2 linked regions of the Neodiprion lecontei genome follow. The protein of the gene in region 1 purifies or fractionates together with the protein of each later gene. This does not show direct contact. Links are inferred from orthologs where the notes say so. Each region holds a gene or a part of one and is shown on either strand. Other genes may lie near its edges. The genes, in order: unconventional myosin-Va and myosin-2 essential light chain.

The links.
Region 2: the proteins of unconventional myosin-Va (region 1) and myosin-2 essential light chain purify together in Drosophila melanogaster (affinity purification with mass spectrometry; 3 studies listed by BioGRID, with this or other methods). This does not show direct contact. The link is inferred for Neodiprion lecontei from reciprocal best matches to the Drosophila melanogaster genes didum and Mlc-c.

Annotation. Positions count from the first base shown.
Region 1 is NC_060261.1:12,493,111-12,497,049, reverse strand, and holds the start of unconventional myosin-Va, read left to right. Parts: upstream 1-1,633; 5' UTR 1,634-1,862; coding exon 1,863-1,889; intron 1,890-3,939. Other genes in the region: DC-STAMP domain-containing protein 2-like, read right to left, coding at 439-542.
Region 2 is NC_060261.1:12,127,933-12,131,344, forward strand, and holds myosin-2 essential light chain, read left to right. Parts: upstream 1-1,052; coding exon 1,053-1,107; intron 1,108-1,409; coding exon 1,410-1,715; intron 1,716-2,049; coding exon 2,050-2,156; 3' UTR 2,157-2,682; downstream 2,683-3,412.

The sequences.
Region 1 (3,939 bases):
TTTTTTTAAATTTGCTATCGTCGCAATAGATCATAGCAGCAGGGTTAAAGTCCAATAAATCGACAAAAAAATGCATTGACCGAGGAAGCATTGGAAAAGCAGCTGGAGATTCCGCCGTTTTTTTTTTAACATTTTTGACGAACCCACGACGAATTGACTTTGAATCAGAGTGGATAATTTCGTAAAACGGCGGTTTCCAATGCAAAGCAACTGGTAACTCTGCTTCCAAAAATCATATACACATATAACAATGAAGAAGAGCTGCTTGATCACAGTAAAGTCCAAGCTGTCCAATGCTCCCTCTTTCTGTTTGGGTTTTTTTCCTACCGATGTCTTGGACTTTAATCTCGAGTGACTCAATTTCTTGGGACGATTGACAAATCGTGACTAATAAAAATAACCAAATATTTACTCGGCATATTAGACTTGATAACATACAGTTTCTTTTTGTAACGAATCTTCTGCCTAAATGTGTAATGGATCTTGGCTCCTTTAGAAACTTCTATAGATCTCATTTTCTCATCCTGATACAGAAGTTTCATTTGCTCAAGCCGCCTAGCTTTCAAAGTCAATTGAAAGAAAGCCATTTTTCAAGTCACACGATTCACTTCCAATACGTATTTATCTATTATACAATTCACTATTGCTCAGACATGATTTTATCCGATTATTACTGCTAGAAAATTAACTGAAGTGAGGTTAATCAATGACATTTAATGAATTATACACCTGTAAATCAGATCCACTCTACTCTATTTCGATAAACAATTGCCATCATATTCTCGGTTATTTTATTCATCATTGCGTGTGTACCTATTTAACATTTATAATATCGAGATGTAGGTATGAAACGTGTAATGAATCGCGTTCAAGTTTGTCAATAAAAAAACAAATTGAATATTGACACGACAGATGTTTTGGTTGCAGCTTAGTGATTATTGTATATTGTATACAAAAGTTGAGTTAATCAAGTTTGTCGGTAAAATTTTCTTTCCTTCATTTTTTGATCGCTCGAAAATTGCTATTATTGGGATATTCGGTTTAGAACAATATGGCGTCGCGTCGAGCGATCAGCTGATAATTTGAGGCTAATTAAACGGAGCGCAGAAAACGTCGTTTAAGTTGTTCGACTCTGATTTTAAGTCGCTAAATCGACATAGAGAAAAACATACGGTGAAAAAACACTTTCAAATACACTAATTACGACACCATCACAATTAGTGTTGCATATTCACTGCCACCAAATGACACCTTAGTTCCGAAGTAACATGATACATAGGTATGTCCAGGATTGTCGAAAATAAAAAAATGTCGAATAAAAATGGGAAAGAACAGAACGAAATGTGTGATGAAAATACGCAACAAAGAAAAGTTTTCGTGCTAATCGTATCTTGTAAGAATACTTCGACAGATTCCTGCATTTTCCTGCACCAATGCAAGTCGATACACCCAACGTCTGTTGTCGCTGGAGTCCATATCGACGCGTTCTGGACCCAATCGACTTCGGCAGAGTCAAAACAGATCGCGACACCTGTCGCTGTAGATAGGTTCATCACCTGTGTGAAACCAGGCTACTGTGGGGGGGGGTAAGGAAAGGAGAGGAATGGAGGAAGTGGGGAGAGCATGAGGCGTACAATGCCAACCGATAGTAAGCCACAAGCCCAGCTGTGAGTCGCAAGCCATCCGAAGGCTGATAGTGAGTCGCGATAGAATCGGTGTCGATTTTGTACGTGTTAAAGAACTCGGAACGAAACCTTCGCGCTCCAAAATGTTGTGACGCTCTTTACGCGGAGGATACACAAGGGATTAATGGAATTTAGTGAGAATCAGCAACGGAAATTGGACTCTTATCCATCGCCACCATGACGACAAGGGAATTATACGTTAAGGTAAACGGTGGATCGAATTCGCGGATGCAAAATTAATCGATCAATTCATATATTTCTTAGGTTTCTCGTTGTTCGCTTGTTTCTCATCGCATTCGCACACGCCCGTACACTTTCATCCTCGACTTTTGAACACGGTTTTCGGAATATGAGAAAAACAAATTCGTCTTGTCGACACGATCGACTGACGCGTTTAACTCTCGCAGTCTCCGTGGAACAACAGAAATAAAACCGGAACCGGTCGAAAGACAGAAAATTCGAATTTGCACACACAGCTGGCCGGCCGAATTATACTCCCGCATATTATGACGAGATGTTTACCTAGGTGCAATTCGCGAGGAAAGCTGCGATATCGATTTGCTCCGAAATTATTTTCTCTACACGCTTATTGTTGTTATCGTTTATAATTCTGAGTTAGGCTCAATTGGGCGATCCATATTTCCGCTCATCGTCCACCGATTGGAAAATAATATATCGCTCGCAATTAGTCATTGTATTGATATGTTCTGACCAATGCCTTGATTACGCAGCTGGTCGATTCAATTGCAGCTTGAGAATATTTGAAATCTATTTCATACTATATTTTAACAAGGATCTGATTCATTCTTGCATTTTTGTGGTGTTCAATTATTTTCCATTGTCCAGGATCCGAAATACGGTGTAAATTTTTTCAAGAAATTGGAATTGGAATTTGTACTAAAAATATCTACGGAATCAATCTACAATACCCATTGATGATGTTAAAGTATTATAACGAATTTTGACAAAAATGTCAAGGTAGGTTTTTGAAGAAGCTTGCTTTTTATAAAACTACAGAGTGTTTGGAAAAGTGATCAATTTTTAATACAAAAATGCATAATTGTGAAATGAAATTCAGCAGTTTTAATAGGTAGTAAATAAATATTTGAAAAGGAGAGGACAAAAGATATGGCTAACATTTATTTCATTACATTTTTCTCCTGCTTCTTTTTACAATAAATTTATTTCTATACTTCGAAAAACATAACTGTAACCTTATAGATAGTTTTCATTAAATCTCGTTTTCTTCCACCAACTATTTCCACGAAATTAAAGAGGAAAGTGTGACCCAGATGAGTTATTGACGTTTTTGACGCGAGAGCTTTTTCGTCCATTCAGAGCTTTGGTATTCTGGAATCTAGGATGAAGAATAAATAAACCAGTCTTACACCGATGTCGAACATGGTTATTTTAACCGTCTTCAAATTTGATGTAAAACATTATCATTTAAATTTCGCAAACGCGTATTCTGCGAAACGCATTCAATGTCAGGTTAACAATAATTGTATCGACTTAATTGGGACATCCAAACTTATTTAGCTGTGTTTGAAAATTTCCGACGATTTGAAGCAATCCCCTGGTGAAAATGTTTTTTCAACAATCTTTGTCAACAATTGGTAAATGATTCGATAAACTCACAAAACTTTCATCACTTCGAAATAAATTTCAAACGATCCTAAAAATTAAAAGAATATTTCTTTGCGGTATTATCAGAAATTTAATTCAGAAGATTTTCATATATGTATAAATTGTAAATAATTTTATTTTAAAGACGCATAAAATATTCGTAAATTATTTAAAATTCTGAAGTGAGCACAGTTGATTCTGCAAATTTTCCATAAAAATAATGTCCATCATCGCACGTGACGAATTATAATCAGTGTTATATTTTTTTATGAAAAAAAAAAAAAAACCAAAACATTTTCTCTTTCAAATCTTATTTTGAAAGGCTGAAAATGTATGAAAACGTTCGGAAAGGTATCTGATTATTACTGTGCACACGAAGTGTTCGAATCCTGGTAATTTTTTGGAATACACTTAAGAATAATAAACCAAACTGAGAGAATTCCGTTCTTTTTTTTTGTTCTTTTTTTTTTCTAATCTGTAGGAAATAATCAGACGAATATTTTGAATCTCGAATATATATCGTAAAGAAAAAACGTGCGGATCATGAAATCCGTATTCGTAGATAGACGCATAGAAAACTTGACCTCGATCTGTTCCTCCGCGAATTTTCAACGGGGGTCGCGCCCGC
Region 2 (3,412 bases), about 370 kb from region 1:
GAGTGAAATTCGCATTGGTGCCTTAGCCTACGATGTTTCGATTGGTTAAATGCTCTGCAAATCAAAATTCAACCGTGCGGTGGAAACGAATGCCTTTCGCCAAGGAATGCTTAGCGTTACTTGTAGCGGCTTGAAGCATTCTGAACGATAAAAACAGTTGCGCCGATATTTTCATCGAGTATTTGTAGCAATTTGATACAAAAATTGTACAATATTTAGAGAAATTTGAACTTTGGATTAGTCACTTCCGGTGATAAAGAATATCGTGTGGCATTCTGCCTACGTCACGAACGTTTCGTTGTGACTGCAAGAAGCGAGCGGTTGGCGGTTAGTCAGCACGACGACACGCATCTGGTAGTAAGCGTGTATTCCGCGTCAGGAACTTGTACTTTGCACAATGGTAAGGAACGCTTTGACATATTGACGTAAAAAAAATAATTCACCAACTCGTTTGAAATAGACAAGAAATATGTATATAAATTGTGCCCTTGTTCCAGGCTTCGTATTCAGAGGATCAGCTGGCCGGTGAGTGACTGAAGCTCTCTGTATCATACTAAGGAGGGCAGATATTTTTTTCTCTTTTTTCTTTACGTTAATTCAGGTCAAGAATACCTTCGCCTTTTTAGACACGCCCCGCTTCTATTTATCGAGGATTACCTTTTATGGCTCGACTTTTGAAAGTGAACGTTCCTCTGTTATACTGACGCTTCTCCCATATTCTTCCTTACATCGACAATTTATTCTCATTCCTGGCTCGAGAGTTCAGTTTTCGCGATTATCTCATGAAGCTGACAACGTAAACAGCCGCGCCTAAATTCTTCGCCTTGTATTATTCCCTAATTTCATGTTTCTATTCAATTTTTAATAATCGTTGTGTTTGCGCGAATTTGAACGCAGATTTTAAATTTTAACGTCCATGACCTACTATTTTCTCAAAGAGTGATTTAAATTTACGAAAAATATCTGGAAAATTCATCAATTTTGCTGTTTTTTGTTTTTATTGATTTCTTTTTGTTCTCTTAATCTTTCACAATATACATAAACATACAAAGATGTATGGATACAGTTATCAAGAACTTTCCAACAGGATGATGTCATCTGTTGAGGGTAAATCATATAACTTAATAATTTTACCTTACTTGTAAAGCTCAGTGACGTCATTAGTATTGATAAAATTCCAATCTTTACTTGTCTCCTGAGGATGGACATAATGACGCACTTATTAGATTTAGGTTCAATTTTTGTTGATTTTGTAAAATCTAATCACAAATTTCTTTGCTCTAGATGTAAAAGTATTTATTTTTGCAATTATAAGATAGAATTATCGGATTTGCAGGAAAAAATTCGCAACATTGTTTTTTTTTCATCTCATCTGGTTTGTTTATTGTCATTTATTAATAATATTTTAGAATTCCAAGAGGCGTTCCAGCTTTTTGATAGCCGCGGAGATGGAAAAATCCACATTGCTCAAATTGGCGACGCCCTGAGAGCCTTGGGGCAAAATCCAACGGAATCAGACGTCAAAAAGTTCACTCACCAGCACAAGCCTGATGAGAGAATTAGCTTCGAGGTATTCTTGCCCATTTATCAAGCCATTAGTAAGTCTCGCACCTCCGATACTGCTGATGACTTCATTGAGGGATTGAGACACTTCGACAAAGATGGAAATGGTTACATTTCATCCGCCGAACTCAGGCATCTGTTAACCACACTTGGTATGTAAACTATTGCCCAACTGATGTATGTTGAGACCTACATGGCAAAATTCTTTTTTTTTCACAAATTCCTCTTAAATATTTTTTATAAATTTCTCTGAACTATGTTAATTCATAGATATTTCTGACAGATTCTGAAAATAATTTTGGACAGCAGTGATTGTTCGTACCAAAAATAAAATATGATTTATTAGATCGTTTCATTATTTTCAACGTCAACAAAATTGTTCAAACAATATTTTTACTAAAAAGTGTGTTATATCTCCGTACTCATTTTTTGTCTATTCGTATATTTGAGGAGCATGATAATTACTAATGGTTCATAATTATTTAGGAGAGAAACTCAGTGATGAAGAAGTTGAGACCCTGTTAGCTGGCCATGAGGATTCACAAGGGAATATTAATTATGAAGACTTCGTTCGTCAAATCATGTGCGGCTGAATGCACTATATTCTTATGCAGTAATTGCTTACTCATTTTTTATTAGTTTCGTATTGTTTTCAAAAGTATTTAAAAAGAAATAAATATCTTTGATTTTTATTTATATGTCACATTCGAAGCAGATGCAAATGTTGCAACAACGATTTATGGATACCATTCATCGGTTGCTATTGTATCACAAGTAAAATAAACTTTTTTATATTATACAAAAAACAAAACAAAAAAGAAAAAAAAACTAATAAGAGAGATAATCAACTCAATTATTTGAATAGAAATCTAGCTAATAAAGTGTGGTGCCTTGACCGAATATCCTTTATGTCGAACCAATCTTCCGTGCTATAATTCAATTGATTAAATCTGAATCGTACACATTCTTAGTGGCTGAGAAATAGCCATCAATAAGAATATTTCTGAGGTACAGCGATGCTCCTCATTTGCGATGTATAATCGTAATATTTAAATCTATCTGGATGGAATAAAAACGTAACTCAAGATGATTGTAAAACATCTTGTTTCTGCATTCAAATATCTAGCTGTTACATTATTTATAATAAACGAATAGTACGCATTTGCAAATTCTCATTTTTACCAATTCATATCGTAAATGTGCGAGGACAGAGAAAATTTATCTGATGTGAGATAAATATAGAACATTACGCTTATCGTATATTAGATTATTAAACTTCTGTGTTTCACATATATAAGCTTGACAACAGTTAGTTTATGCCGTGCATCTGCATTAGTTTCTATTTGTTTCGTGAAGATATTCAAAGACTGTTACTATCAGAAGTCTTAGGTTCTACCTAGTTTCTCACGAAACACTTCAATAATGCACGTCGAAATCTGTATTGTCTATGTCGAATGCAATATCGAGATGCAACCGTAGAAGATAAATTCGTCGAAATTTCAGAAAGTTTTTCGAAATACTTCCGCTACTTATCATTCGTAACTTTACAAGTGATTACGGCACTGTCGTGTCGACAGTCTGTATTCGTAGTCTCCGTCGTAGTTGGCAAACAACTCGTTTTATGCGCATGCGCGACGCGCAGTCTCAGTCTCGTAATCGGACGGTGACGTCAGAGTACACGTACAAGGATAGAATGTTCGGGGAGATTTTCCACATTGCTCCAAATCGCACGTACGCTCAACAGCGCAGCAAGCAAGAAAAGTATTAGCTCAGTGTCTCCAGAAGAAAACAAAATTCTGCTCGACGCAGTTAAACTAAATCCGCCAAGATTTTACGAAAGAAGAAGTAT